Linked DNA regions of Arabidopsis thaliana. The protein of the gene in region 3 interacts with the protein of the main gene of each other region in a pairwise test. Each region holds a gene or a part of one and is shown on either strand. Other genes may lie near its edges.

What was found. The genes of interacting proteins can lie anywhere in the genome.
Region 1: the proteins of IAA28 (region 3) and MP interact in a two-hybrid assay, tested with the Arabidopsis thaliana proteins (3 studies listed by BioGRID, with this or other methods).
Region 2: the proteins of IAA28 (region 3) and CXIP2 interact in binary tests that used the Arabidopsis thaliana proteins (3 or more experiments, as listed by UniProt).

What each region holds. Positions count from the first base shown.
Region 1 is NC_003070.9:6,884,708-6,891,945, reverse strand, and holds MP (Transcriptional factor B3 family protein / auxin-responsive factor AUX/IAA-like protein), read right to left. Parts: upstream 5,278-7,238; 5' UTR 4,594-5,277; coding exon 4,461-4,593; intron 4,311-4,460; coding exon 4,195-4,310; intron 4,087-4,194; coding exon 3,988-4,086; intron 3,898-3,987; coding exon 3,841-3,897; intron 3,753-3,840; coding exon 3,597-3,752; intron 3,518-3,596; coding exon 3,433-3,517; intron 3,357-3,432; coding exon 3,266-3,356; intron 3,170-3,265; coding exon 3,005-3,169; intron 2,923-3,004; coding exon 2,800-2,922; intron 2,715-2,799; coding exon 2,503-2,714; intron 2,424-2,502; coding exon 1,270-2,423; intron 1,178-1,269; coding exon 987-1,177; intron 891-986; coding exon 764-890; 3' UTR 542-763; downstream 1-541. Other genes in the region: AT1G19860 (Zinc finger C-x8-C-x5-C-x3-H type family protein), read left to right, coding at 1-292. UniProt on the Arabidopsis thaliana protein: Auxin response factors (ARFs) are transcriptional factors that bind specifically to the DNA sequence 5'-TGTCTC-3' found in the auxin-responsive promoter elements (AuxREs). Seems to act as transcriptional activator.
Region 2 is NC_003071.7:16,030,644-16,034,946, forward strand, and holds CXIP2 (CAX-interacting protein 2), read right to left. Parts: upstream 2,527-4,303; 5' UTR 2,412-2,526; coding exon 2,031-2,411; intron 1,205-2,030; coding exon 704-1,204; 3' UTR 542-703; downstream 1-541. Other genes in the region: FAC1 (AMP deaminase, putative / myoadenylate deaminase), read right to left, coding at 3,124-3,192, 3,276-3,374, 3,467-3,547, 3,771-3,944, 4,018-4,128, 4,210-4,263. UniProt on the Arabidopsis thaliana protein: May only reduce GSH-thiol disulfides, but not protein disulfides. Participates probably to the maturation of iron-sulfur proteins and to the regulation of the redox state of the BOLA proteins.
Region 3 is NC_003076.8:9,031,638-9,035,682, reverse strand, and holds IAA28 (indole-3-acetic acid inducible 28), read right to left. Parts: upstream 2,480-4,045; 5' UTR 2,204-2,479; coding exon 2,076-2,203; intron 1,885-2,075; coding exon 1,573-1,884; intron 1,310-1,572; coding exon 1,245-1,309; intron 1,152-1,244; coding exon 1,129-1,151; 3' UTR 543-1,128; downstream 1-542. UniProt on the Arabidopsis thaliana protein: Aux/IAA proteins are short-lived transcriptional factors that function as repressors of early auxin response genes at low auxin concentrations.

The DNA of each region.
Region 1 (7,238 bases), on a different chromosome or scaffold from region 3:
ACAAGAGACGCCGCCAGTTCAACATCTCGGTTATCGATACAACCTCCAACCTGGAGGAGGACCTAACCCGGAGATGGTAAATAGCAGTAATAATAACCAGAGGCCAAGGGATTCAAAACCCAAGATAATGAAGGCTTGCATGTACTTCAACAGCGCAAGGGGTTGTCGCCATGGAGCTAATTGTATGTACCAGCACGATGCTACACCCTACCAGCCGAGGAATCTAAACAATGGTAATATCAACACTTCTGATATGCAGAATGCAAAAAGAATGAGATTTGACAGAGACTGATGCAGAATTAGCATACCACACATGCTCTCTGCCTCTTGCTGTTAGCAGCAGAGCAATTTTTCTATTTTCTCTTGCCTGGCTTTACTGCAATATAAGTTTTATATACATTTGAAATTATTTCTTGGTTTTATGCCACAAATGTAGAATTAATTAGCGAGTATTATTTGGCTCACCATCACAGTAGTACTTATACTATCCCTAGTGTTTTTAAGATGATTTTCTACACTTTTATCTTTAACATTGTGCAGAAAAAAGAGTAAAATAATCACAAGATTTCTAAGACTGTCTCAACTACTGATTCATTCATCACTCTACTACATAATATGAATATAGTTTCAGGTCTCAAATCGGAACAACACATCAAATGCTTACAACAAGATGGTTTCTCCTCTACCAGTTGGAGAAAAGAACATTTCTTACTCTCTTTTTTTTCTTACAAATCAGCATGAGATCATTTTTATATTGTTACATTTATGAAACAGAAGTCTTAAGATCGTTAATGCCTGCGCTGTTCAAAAGCTTCATCCCTTCTTCACTCATCTGCTGGACCTCAGTTGGCGACAATATCCTTATGCACCTTACGCATCCCACAAACTCTCTGCACCAGTTTATGTAGTTATGTAAGGAAAACTATTGTAAGACTGATAGTCAGATGAAGTTAATGGATTCACAGAACAGTGAGAGAGAGACTTACTCCCATGGATCATCTCCTACAAGCAGAACATCACTCTCATAATCAACATATACAAGCTTCCAACCCGAGCTTTGTGGGTGAGTTAGTAGTCCTTCCAATCCAAACATGCATTCGATAGCAGATTTTAGCTCCTCGTAGTCTTTAAAGCTTGTGACATCAATTGATCTCCCGACTGACCCGGTTTTTTGAACCTGCCAAGTCAAAACATTACCCAAACCCCAAAGTTTCATGTCAGATTGTGACACAAGAAATTTGTGGAATGAATGAGAGATAATCTTTTTACCTTAGTGTAGGTTCGGACGCGGGGTGTCGCAATTTTCTGCCATGATGAGCCTTTACTATTTTGCCGCAGACTACAATCATCAAAATCAACATTGCTTGAAGATGTACCAGTGCCTCCAGAATTATCTGGAAAATCTTGGCGAGAGAAGGCCTGTGAGTCTGCAAAGCTAGCTGATGTGATCTGCGACTGGACATCTTGAGCAAAGCTAGTGTTGTTGTTTCCAACCAAACAACCAGAAGGGTGGTTCTGGAAATCAGTGTCTTTGATGGCACAGAAGTCATCAAGGACTGTGTTTGAGAGTGGAGGATCTAGAATGTTACTGGTTGTGCTATTACTCATACAGATATTCTGACTAGCATAAAGGTCCTGCTGCATCAAGGGACTGAACTGGTCAAACTTGAGACCGTTCAACTGAGTGTCCCACACATCATGAAACAGCGGTGAGTTTGTGGAATCCGGTAACACAACAGCTGAAGAATCCTGGGAGGATAGAATGAATGGTTGCTTGTATGATCCGGCAAGAGACTGGAAGGAAGAGACTTGTGATGTCAGCTCATCAGTTTCCAGGAAAGAGAATCCATTTATTGGATCAGACTGTGGTTGGTAAATCTGATGAGTAATGTCAAGACATTGATCAGCTTGTACAGGCGACGAAGCACCCGGTTTCTGAAGTAGCTGATTAACCTTTTCCTCATTACACACTGTGGATGTAGTAACCTGGCTTGCCTGTTCCATTGACTGCTCAAGTCCATGTTGGACTCTACCAGAGCTGCAACCAGAGAGTGTAGAGTTCTCAGGTTTAGCAGGAGCACTCATACTCTGTGAAAGATTCTGTTCTTGGCCACTCGTATTAGAAGCAGATGGGTTCACTGTTAGCTTGTTTTGTGGCTGCACCATCTCAGATTTCTGGTTCATCATCAGGGGTTGCTGCATCTTCATATCTCCTAGCAAACCTCCATTCCCCATTACAATATTCTGCTGCATCTCAGACATGAAAGATGGTACATTTTGGTTGTTGTGAGGCCTCATCATCATTTTCATAAGCTGCTCCGAAGCCATACTAGGGAAAGATGCATATGGCATAATCCCATTCGCGGAATCAGGAACACGTATAAGTGGCCGTTTTATCAAGCTACCCCATTCAGTTTCACCAGCTGCATATTTCATAACAAAACTTTAAGGCAGCAAATCTCATGTAAAGTTCACAACAAGGCACACTTATATTTTACTCACCAAAGTAAGATGGATGGAGCTGACGTTTGAGTCCTGAGGTCAGAGAAGGAAAAATGAAGAGACTTTCAGGTGTTTCGATATCCCATGGACTGACCCGAGTAGGTTTATCATTACATCCAGGCTCATCCCATTCTACCTGAAGGTTACGCCACTTAGAACCAGGCCATCTCAACGGATCCAAATCGCTGATTCCAACAATAGTTCCCATGTACCTAAATACACAACCAAAACGTGTATAAGTGAACAACCAAATTTGATAAACAAAAACAGAAAGATTGCAGTTTACGGATAACTTACCTTCGTTTCCCGGAATCTTCAGTTTCAAACATCATTCCAAATCTCATACCAACTGAGAGCTGAGACCCGCATATCGCCTTACGGTACTTAGCTAGAGGGATCACGAACTCTGCTGGACAAGCTCTGAGAACAAACACCATAAGTTACGTTACAACTAAGAAAATAGTTTTATATCATTGAGGATTGAAGAAGCTTTTGAGCTAACCTTGGATTATAGAATATCAAAAAAGGAGTACGGTTGGCGGTTGCGTGAGCAGCAGCAGCAAGAACACCGATGTGCATACTATCCGCTGAGAGAACTGATGAAGGAAGTGCTGTTTGTTGGCGATTGGCACGCCTAACACCGACCATAAGTTGTGACTTCTCATCCCTTTTGGCACATTTTCAAAGGACAAATGACAGTCAGAAGATAAGCAACACCAAAATGAGTCAGAGCCAAAATATCTCAATAGCCAAGGTTTTTCACCTGATGAACAAAACAGAATCCCCAGCTCTCAATCTCTTCGATCCAACGAACAAACTCCATCCTGTAGTTAGGAGATGTCTCTTTGGTTGCCCTGAGAATGTAAGCAGGAACTGAGCTCAATACCAACTCAATCTAAACAGAGAAAGAGACAAATCTAGTGGTTATACCTCGGTAGATATGGCGAAATGTCCAAGTATTCTCATGAAGATCTCGAACTACAAGCTCTTGCGTTGGCGGCTGTGCTGAGTAGTCCTGCAATGTATTTAACATAACATTAGCAGGCTAGCAGCAGTTAAAGCAATAGGAACATATGAGGAAAAGAGAAGCTCACCAATGGTGGAAATAGCTTCTCTGCAGCTCTACGTGGCACTGAGAAACCTCCATGTGTGCTTGTGTCACTTGCAGTAAGTGTTTTGCAGAAAAACTCAGTCGGGTGCTTACTTCCTCTCAGCATTCCAAAGTCTGGTACAGGGAACACATCTCTCTCCTGATGCACACAAACCATTCAAACTCATTCAACTTCAACATGAGTTCTTAAATGAAACAAAAGGAAGTTGCAAGAATCCAAAACTTACAGAGTGAACAGGTTGAAGACTCATCTGAGCATAGATTTCGTCACTGTCTTTGTCAGCCTATCAAAGGGGAACAAAACCATTGTCAAGAAATATCAAACTTGGTTGCAATTTGTTTGGATACGAAGCAAATGAGAAAGATTGGCGTACATGAAGAGTAACATTATGGACTTGACACATCAACTGAGATGGAAGGTTCGGATAATTAGGAACTTGTGTTGTTGCTGATCTTCTGGTTGAAACAGCAACCTAATAAGTCAAAAAGTGAACAAAAAAAATCAAACCTTTTGAACAGGAGCTAACAAGATCTAGAGAAGTACAATGTGTTTGTTTGTTCTTTAAGACACACAAAGTTACCTGCTCGCTATGACCTTGTGAGAAGTAATACACTAAGCTCCCAACTTGAGGGAGACACACCAAAGGGCCTGCACAAGCGTGCCATAGCTCCGAGTTTATTACCGGCTTTCTTGTACCTGAAAAATGTTCAAAATCGCATTTTTAGGGGAAAGTAACAAAATTTCTAAATGTCATTAGCATAAATTATGAAACCTTTTGTTATCACAGTTTATTCTTAAAAAGGTAACTTTTTTAATAAAAATCTTGAGAAAGAAGAAGATGAAAACCTGACTGGTCTTTCAACAGCTTCATCTCTTCAAGCAAGGTAGATTGAGATGTTGTTGTTGTTATAGTTCCTCCACCATTAACCAAACAACTTGTTTTCATCTTGTCTTCAACACAAGACAATGAAGCCATCATACAGAGAGATTTTTCAATGTTCTGTTTTGTCTCTCCCACACTCAACACTAACTAGGCTTTAGCAAGACTCAAGAGTTTTTCTTTTTCTTTACTAAGTCTTCATTTTATTTTATTTAATACAAGAAGAGACAAAAAGAGCTCTATTGAGCAAAGAGGCTACAAGAAGATAAATCCAGGACAAACCAGAGGAATTAAAGACAAAGCCATTTCATGGAATCTGTTTTTTTTTGGTTAAAGAAGACTCCAAAATCGAAGGACAAAACCCTTACACATGACAAAAACAGAGTGGGAGAGATTAAAGAACATACAAAATAGGGACTACACAGACAAGCATGTCTCTCTTGTGGGGCTCTTGCCTCTTCTCTTTCTCTCTCTCCACTCTTCTTTTCTCAGACCAAATTCGACCCTTCAATGAAGAAGAGAAACCAAAGGTGCCATCATGAAACCACACAGTTTCTTTCTTTGGTTCCGGATGCAAACAAGAACAAGAAGCAATTGAGAGAGAGACAAAAGCTTTTAAGAAAAAAAAAACTTTTGCTTTCTTTTAATTATTTCTCTGAAAAATCCCACATTTTTTCTTCTTCTCTCTCTAATGTATATGAGTATTAGTATAAATGTGTATGTATAGGTTTTATTTTGCTTGGAAATGGGAAAGAGTGTGCATGCTCTTATCCTGCGCTTAAAACTTTCTGTATATGGCGATGCCGTTGCAGCTTTAGACTCTTTAAACGAATAATATTATATTTTATTGTTTCCCATTAATTATAAAATAAAGTTTTGGTATTTCAATAGATACATCTATATTATTATTTAATGTTTTAGAACAGTTTACGTCAAAAATTTAATAAAGTAGAGTAAGCACACGTAATCTCTGATACGCACAGAAACGTAGTTGAATGTACAAGTACTTTCAATGCTTATGTTATAAGGCAGATAATAAAGCTTAAAATAAGTACCATGAGTGAATATTATTTTAAAAAGTGTCCTACTTTTTCAAGAACTTTGTAAAATATAAAATGTTTTTTGATTATGGCAATAAATTAAAATTGATTAAGAACTTTATGACAAAGGAGGAGGCTTCTTTTTTCGTTGCAATAATATATACTTTTCTCAAAATGTTAATCTTTTCTTGCTGAGATTTCGTAAAAGGGATGTGAGTGGTGAGACTTTGGGAGATCTCTAATACAAGGTGCGTATGATAGGAGAGAATGTCAAAATAGCGTATATTAGCACGAAGCCTAAAGAGGTTACGGGAGGAAGTGTATCTTCCAATCTTTTTTGCCCGGGTGTTCTTTTCCTTTCCAAGTTAAGGACTTCAAAAATGTTTTCTTTCTTTGGTTAGAAAAAGTTATTTTGATATTTGCAAGATTTGGTATAGAGATTAAAAAAGATTTAAGTATGGTTTAGTTAAAACTTAAAAGTTATAAGGTGGTATTGTTTATATATACTTAAGAGTTAAGACCACCTCCAAATAAATTGAAAGGACTGTTGTTTGTGGTTCTTGCATTTGTATTGAAATTGAGCTTTGTAAAATATATTTGTATCTACAACAACCAAAAGAAAGGAATATCTTGGTTCTCTGCACCTGTAAACATAGCTTGTTCTGCTCATTATTAATATCTAATACTCTAAACCACATGTGTAATTATGTCTAATTGTGTATAGTGTGTACCATTACATCTTTAGACCTTTTTAGTTACATACATTTTTTTTTTTTACGCACACATCTCTAGTTTGACCTTTCCATTGTTTTCTTGCGACGAAATAATTGACATGCGGTCATTGTATTATATTGTATGATATGAAACCATATCACTTTCCATATCATTACTTATCAATCATACGTAAATAAAAATCGCTTTCCTTCATGTAATATTACTCATAAACAAAATACAAATGAGCATAGTTAAGTTATATATAGGATTAGTACACAATCCACATTATCACATATTAGAGAAAAATAATCAAACATATTATAATTTATAAGTGGATATATAGTAGCATCATTATGATAGAATATCTATATAAACATAACTACTTATTCGGATACGCGTTTGTCACTAAGATATATTTGAATCAAAGGATCTCCAATCAAGTATATAATGTGTGGAATTTGCTGTTGGCAGCACATTTTAATATACAGTTCAAATTTAGCAAGGAGTGAAACATGCTTTTGATGATAATGGAAAAACTCTCATTTCCGGTGCCAAGATTGTGTGCCATCAGCAAAATCTTTGGAACAAATAGTCATTACGTATAACGAGGAATAACATCCCACGATGAGGTTTACTAGATATAATTTTATCATTCTTATCAATTGTTTTCTCTTGTATCGTTTTTTTTTTTCTCTACTGTATATCATTTGTGACAATGCCTTCAATAATCCTAAATTCATAAAAATAAAAACTCTTACCATACCAAATTTTAACCACATGCAAAGAAAAGGATACCAATCAAAATCAAGTGTATGCAGATTATCAATCCGAATCCTTCCTAAACGTTAGTTTGTCTTATGTAGATTGGAAACTTGTAAAAAAACAAGAATAAGAAATGAAGAAAGAAAAAAAGAAAGTGAAAAGCATTATTTGGTGCTTTTGCGTCTGAAAATTTTGACCGCTAGGCACGCGTGAAGTGGACGGCAAATC
Region 2 (4,303 bases), on a different chromosome or scaffold from region 3:
CTATCAACTTATTTTACAGTCTGACTTATATTTTTTTATTGTTTTGTTTTTATGTAATCGAATTTTTGAGACCGTTGACTTGTTGTTTTATTTGTTCATTTAATTTTTTTCAGTTTCCAAAAAAAAAATAAAAAGAAAATACAACCCATAAACTAACCTCGTCATCATCATATTTTTCAATTTTCATGAACGTTTGTTACTCATATAAGTTGTAACAAATGAATACCATAGAATATTTGTGTTATTTTTGAGATATTCATCCTACAAATGAGAATTTAGTACTTAAAATGAATATTTTGTGTTAGTTCACCCAAAGATTATGTCAAAGAAGAACAATAATTCTCTAATAAACGTGCTACAAGAATAAGAATGCTACTAAATTAATCAATTAAATCATTTAACGTAACAATAGTTACTTAACTCCATTTCCAATTATGTTTTGTTTCAACATATATATTTAAAGGGACAATTAGTGTAAAAAAAAAAAAAAAAAAATCATTGGTTAAATGACCACAAAATAGGTGAATTTAGTGGATGGTTATGCGTTTTAAACCTACTCTTAGATTTGTATAGAATCTGTAACCTTTTATAAATGCGGAAAACAGAAAACGAATCTGTAACTATGGAAGAGAATCCAAGCATGTTTTCTCTATAATGAATGTTTGGAGTTACAACTAGAAATAGAGAAGAAAATCGGATGAAACTAGTTCAAGATATTGGCAAGTTCACCATTTTCATACATTGAGGTCAAAATATCACATCCTCCTACAAGTTCTCCTTTCACAAATATCTGTGGAAACGTTGGCCAATTGCTGTAGTTCTTAAGCGTCTCCCTTAGCCCATGATTATACTCATCGTCAAGAACATCAACAGTTTCATAATCAACTCCTTGGCTTTCAAGAATCCCAACAACTCTCTGTGAGAATCCACATTGAGGAGCACTCCTTGATCCTTTTATGAAAGCTACCACTTTGCTCTCTTTCACTAAACGGTCAATCAGTTCCTCCAAAGGAACCGTGAGCTCAACATGGCGACCTGGAGTGAGACGGATATCGGATTTCTTCCTCGGAGTTTGTTTGACAAATGTGTTGTTCCCTGACTTATTCCCCGGCGGAACTTTTCCAGTTACTTTTATATGTTCTTCTATCCATAATTTCCATGCTTGTGTTAAAACTGCTTTATCTGGTTCTTCTACTATTCCAACCTAGCAAAACAATGATGAAATCAGTTATGGAAGATATATCAACAATACCAAAACTTGTCAATATCCATCACATGAGCATAAACAAAGTCCTATTGAGTCAATGGAGCAAATAAACACTAAAATAATCATAACATAAGTAAATCATAAGCAAAATATAAGCAATAAGTGACAAATAAATGATAGAAAGAGGAAAAATGTAAATTCTTAAGATAATAATACAACCCATAAAAATGTAAATTTCTCAAGAGCAATCTTTAGATTTGACTGTTGTAAGCTGATACAGTTAAGGATCATGGACACAAAAAAAACAAAAGCTCTTGTTATTAATTAAAAGAACCTGACACAGAATGGTAATCAAAATGCCAAAGAGAATCAGTTCTCTCCATTGGTACAAAACCGATATACCTCTCAAACCTCGACAAATCTCGCCAATGCGCACTGTCCTGTATCTATAGAGTAGAATTTCCCTAAAAAACTAATCAAAAGAAAATGCTAAAAAAACAAGTCCTAACTCCTAAGTAACATATACAAAATGAACTATTGATGCATCTCCTAATCATAATGTGTGGTAAGTGTTGTTAAAAGAACTCTTACCAACAACAGAACCAAGAACTTCATTAGCTCTAGTTTTGCAAACAATAGTGATCCTAATGATATGAAATACTATCTCTGGAACTAAAGTGATGAACTTTTGTAGTATTCATTTACCAAAACACTTCCCAAATCTATGAACAGTAATAAACAAAAGTCAACCACAACAAAACAAAGAATCCTTCGTTATAGTAACAGACATGCTACTCCTCTATATGAAATCATGGATAAGTACCTTAACGGAGCCACAAAGCTCCGGCACAGATTTGAGATGAGCAGAGACACTCGCAGCGATGTTCCGAGAAATTCCGACGAACTGAAGCTCGTCGCTCTTATCGTATACAGCGTATACACCGGAAGCGGACGGGATTGAATCAGCCTCTGTGATTGGAAGCAGCTCCGTCTCCGTTAGAGATTTGACGGCGGAGGCGATAAAGAAGGAACGACGACGAGACGGAGCTGTGTCACGGAGTGTGAAGGAGAGAGATGGGAAGGAGAAGGATGGTGTGAAGCGTGAATAGAGGGTGATCACAGGGGTATTTCGAGAAACATGTGGACGAACAACACGCGGAGAGGCTGAGGCGTGCAAGGAGGAAGAAATGGTGATTGCAGCCATTTTTGTCGGAGCTGAGAAAAGTTATCGGTGGAAAATGATGAGCTCTTTTATTTGACATAGGATTTTATCCATTGGGCCTGAATTGGACTGTTATTAAGGCCTTATGATACTTGGGTTTTAAATACCATAATTCGGAAAAGTGGGACCCGCTTTAGTTTCTTTTTTCTTACACATTCCATACTTCAGTCTGTTATGAAACAAAAGGAACATTTGTCTAGTTCACTTCATGATCAAGCCAAATCTACCAATGTGACCCAAAAACATGTGTTTAATCCGGTAAACAGATCTCAGTATGGTTTAAAACAGAACCAAAACAAACAAACAAAATTGGATTTCGAACATAATGCTATTTCTGATTAAAAATTGAATCTGAATCCAAGTTAAAACAGTATGTAATCCAAAAACTGAAATCCATTATATTAAAACCGGTTCTCAACTGGTCTCTTTGTATCTCATTATCTAAAAAGCTTTATAAAACAATAAGATTTTGGCACAGCCTAATCGCTTTCTCAGGGCACAGAGCCACTCATATTATTACCCTATCTACTAGGTTCCTGCTTTCGTATACTTCTCAAAATGCTCTCTTTGTTCCCCTGCAATCTGAAATTCAATCATTGACATCATAAGAAAATGTTGTAACAGAAGTGATAAGATCATTGAGTTGTTACATACATGTTGGATTCTTACGTCTTGCCATTTCTGATTGTGGTTTTTATGGAACAACTTCATCAGAGATAACAGCCTTGCCCAGATAAACCTGTTGCATCTCCTCTTTCCAGATCTGCATCAACTTCATATTTTTAATTTGTTTTCCTACAAAGAGAAATTAACTTGTGTGAAGAATAAATATATTTCATTCCATACCGTGTCACGGAACTCCACCCTTATGTGTGGCACGTTTGTTTTGTGAATGTCGTTTCCATCAGGTCCTCTTTTGTAGTAATCTTTTCCAATCCAGTGCGACTGGAACATCTCAACAAGTTAGTATTATTAGTAGATCGGAACAGAGACATCTTGTTCATTCATACTATGGGCCATGTTGATATAACAAGTACCTTCAGGGCGTGTGAGAAACCTGACTGGTACACTGAGTTACGAGCTATCTCGCACAGGTCACACGCACTCAGCTTCCAAACCTGAAAAATCCAGTTATCATCTTCAGTTAATACATAAATATAACTAAAACCTAGAAGAAAAGGATGTATAGAGAGAAATTTCATTGTTCTTCGTGTTTGCAATTGCAGAAGATCAGTATAAATCATTTAAAGGTAATAACTAATAAGACTTTTAAAAATATAATCAACTTTTCAAGGCCTATGATGTGTGGCAAGACTGCATAATGGAAAGATTATGACTTACTGATGCAGCTATGCTATACTCTTCCACGAGAGGTTCTTTAGTTAAGTGAATCTGAAGGGGGTCATCAGTAGACAGAGAAACATTGAGACCTCTTAAGAAAAACACAGGAAACGGGTTCCGGTGGTAATCTAGAAACAAAGAGTTGTTGCTCAGTGGTGACATGGCCAGACCAATCTGTCAAAAGAAATGTCTTCTTAGAACAGAAACAATAATACATATGTAATACATGCAGGCAGTCTCCACAAACCTGGGCGAGGTAGTACAGATACTGAAGCACAGGAGACTTTCGCAGATTGATTCCATGTGCGATGCTATGGCATGTTAGAAACGTAGCAGCCAAGTGGTCAATGTCACCAGCCTGAAATTTGTAGACATGTTAAAATTCCACTGAACTGTAACTGAAAACTGTTTATCTAGCACAAAGGAAGAAATAACACACCTCTCCAGAATGTGGTCGTAGCGTGATAGTAGTCATGCCCTTTGACTCTCGAAGCTGAAGAAAAATAGTTACTCCATATTACACAGTTTTGAGA
Region 3 (4,045 bases):
TCAGCATACGGTATATTTTTGAAGAAAAAAAGTTTGAAAGAAAGTTGTGAGACACAAAATTTATAGGAGAATTTTTAAATTTTAAATTTTATTTACTAATTTTAAATTCATTATTTCTTTTAAAATAATGTTTTTTTACCTATCTCGACATAATTGAGTTTTTCTTTGGATCATCAATTAGTAGAGGTAATCGGACCATTTTCCAAGTTGGATTAACGGGTCAGCGAATGTTCAACCTCTGATAGACTGATACTATGTTAAGTTTCATAGATTACTAATTCCAAAACCAATTGACAATAAGTAAAAACTCATATAAATATATATATATATATATATATATATATATATTTATATTAATGAAGTCTAAAGTCGTTTTCACCATCTGAGTTCGAGTAGTATTAGCCACCAAAATTTAAGTAATTTAACATGGTTTTTCCATACTCCATAATCAATTTTTGGGTGTATGAAATTTTTAAAATTATATGAGTTATAAAAAAATAAAGTATCTTTCTCCCTACTATCTTTACTCTAAATACTATTTTAAGATATTACTCGAGTTAATTACATGTTATACCGAAATAATTCATGAACATAACAAGATTACAGTTCATGAAATAAATGGTTTGTCTTTTGTGAAATAAACAATTGGTACTCATGTGTGTTACAAAACAACAATTTTTTTTGGATGGTGTTATAAAACTCGAACCCACCAAACTTGGATAGCCTCTTGTATCTATTTCTCTATTATTTCGGGTAATCTTTACTCATACATAGTAAACAGGCTCTCTGGATTTTTACCTCTCTGAAAAAAACATAAAATGAGTCGGTTTGATTTCGCTAATTAAATACCATTTTCCCTACTAAAAAACGAAACGAAGGCATGAATCATATCAGGCATTGTAATCAACTTACGTGCTTACACTATTTTTATACACACGATAACATACTAACCCCCGATTTCTTAAACGAACAGCATATTTACAACCAAAACAAGAAATAACATAGCAAGCAAAAACCTAGTACATAAGTGAAAAAGAAAACCAGTAAATCAAAGCCAAACCCCATTAGTTTCCACAAAAATTACATTAAAAACAAACCATCGAACTGATGATTTTGGCCAACCTCTCTCTATTCCTTGCCATGTTTTCTAGCTGTGAAAAAATAAATAAATATATAAGTTAATTTCAAGGCAGTAATTAAGTGATGAGATGTATGAAAAAGTTTCGTAAGAATTGTAATCTTACGTGAGAGTGAGAAGGCGTGGGAGGTCTTTAAAACATGCAACCTCTTTACAGTAGATACAAACATCCTAACAAATAAAGTAAACTATATCATTAATATGTCCAATGATTCAAATTATTATCAGATAAATATCCAAAAATATGACCTTTAAAGGAAAATAATAATCTGATGAGAAATGGCCAAACTCTTTTTAGGAACTCATACTAAAAATATTTGTTAAATTCGACAAAAACAAAAGTAGATAGATATAAAATGAATTTTTGATAAAGTAAGTTCATATTCAGTTCCAGAAAAAAAAATGGAATTAGTTTTGTTTGATTTAAAACTTACTCCCAAGGAACATCCCCGACCAGAACTTTATCTCCTTCAGTGTCTTCGTAGACCAAAGTGTATTGTCTGTTTAGATCCCACGAATCTTTCTTAGAGAAGAGTTGGTCAACGGCATGTGAAAGCTGTTGGTAGTTGTTATAAGCTGAAAGGTTGACTTTTCTTCCTATTGGAACTCCTTCCATGTTGATCTTAACGTACAATTCCTTCTCTTCATCACTCTCCTTCTTCTTCATCTCCTCCTTTAGTTGTGCCGTTAGGTTTCTCCGGGATGATCTCACCGGCGGCCATCCCACCACTGGAGCTACCTCAACCCTGTTTTAGCCATATCTAGTTATAACATATACACAAATACTTTTTGATAACTAGATACCGAAACCCAAACTAATCTCCGAAAACTGTAGAATTACCAGGATTTTGTTTTTTATTTTTATTTTATTATCATATAAGACATCTACAATGAACAAGAATGATTCAAATCATTCATGAGAAGAGATTAAGAGAACCTGTTATTGGAAAGGAATGATGTTTCTTTGGTCGAGCTTTTTTGTTTAGATCCATTGATGTTGTTGTTGGAAGTGAATTGGTGACAAGGAGGAGCTAGCCTTAGCTCCAATCTCTTTTCTTCTTCCATTTTTCTAAGTTTGTGTTGTGTTTTTGGTGTTGGGGAGTATTATTATATGGGTGGTTGGCAAGGAACTACAATCCCAATCTTTTTATAAAAGTAGTCTCTTTATATTTTCTAATGAAAAGAGATTTTATTTTGAATTAATAACCACCTAACAGATCCTACTTGTATGGTTTCCGTATGTCAAAAATGCGTTTACATACGTGTATGATTCTACGAATGTGATGCGGATTGATGGGAGACACACATATATTATTTACAACGATTACTATTATATAAAGAGAATAAATTTATATGATGATCATTAGAAAAATCCAATAGACTAATTTAGAGTTATAGGTAGGTGGTTATCAAATTAAAAACCCACTTAGAATATATGGTAACATGGTTCATAGCCGTGTGGGGTCTCATACTACCGAATAACTCTGATTAATTACAAAACATATGATTCCAAAAATCTTAGATGTAATCACCAAATTATTACGCTGTCTAGACGTGTCCATTATCATTCTAATTCGATCCAAAAAGATGTGGGTAACCGAAAATTACCAAAGAACTAAAATGCTACCATAGCACCAAAGTCAAAATGAATATCCAACACATACACATAAACCAATTTAAACAAAGAGATATATAAATAACAGTGATTAGTAATACCCCTTTATTAGCTAGTGACATGAATTAAAATCATATTGAAAAATGAAAATGAATGCTATTCTTACTTAGAAAATGAAAACTATAATCATATAAACTATGTACAATTGCTTCTCTTATGCATGACATTTGTAACACATGTATTTTAGAAAATTCATGTATGTCACCGTGACTCATGAGACAAAGAAATGTATCATGCATGGTTGTGTCATCATGTGATCATCAACATAGTCATCATATGATCATCTCCACACCCATTCTTGGAGAGTAGAGGCCGACATAGAAAAGGAAACAAGAAAGAGGAAAGAGATTCCTAGGCATGCTTAAATGAGTACCTACCAATAAAAGGAGTAAAGTAGTAGGTTTTCGTTTACTAACCTTCTTCTGTTTATTTTTATTTGATATATAAGTACTGCAAATATTAATTGTATGTATACTTAGAATTCCACTACAAATTCTCTCTTTTTTCACGAAAAGTCCACTACCAACTTGGTTTTTGTTACTCTAATTTGGCCTCCATAATGTTTGTCCTTTTTTTCAAGTTACATAATCGATTGATTTACGGAAATTGCCAACCCATGAAAAGTCATCTTAAACATAATCAAGTATAACTTTAGAAATATATCAAGATGGTTTAAGGATCTTTCAACTCAATCTTAAAAAAACTTAATAGCTATGGCATATAATCAAATAAGCTGTAATTTGATTAGTGAAAATAACTAAAATGGGTCAACGCTCAAAATACTACAAATAAAACTGTTGAAATAGACACATAAAATTTGTGGCTATTTCACAGTTTCTTATAGTTGAATTGGTTTATACTTATCTTGTGTCTTTTGTCTAGAAATTTGTGGCAATCTAGAAATTCTCTTTTGTCTTTTGACCTTTTTTCATGGGTCATCACCTATTTGTTTTATTCTTTTTAACTCGGGGCAAAACAATTTCTTCAGCCGATTTATATTAATTAACCGAGAGTCCGAGACCAATATACCATGACTAATCATCACACTAATAATGACAGAGCTTATAGTGTAATTTTTACTTGATTCTGACCCTGCACATACGTGTATATAAATATAATGGAATACATTTTTAGTTAAAAATATTATAGTGTATAAATTATAATATGCATAGAACAGTGTACAGTGTTAATTATGATAAAATAGCTAACTTTTTTTATTAATTTATATTATT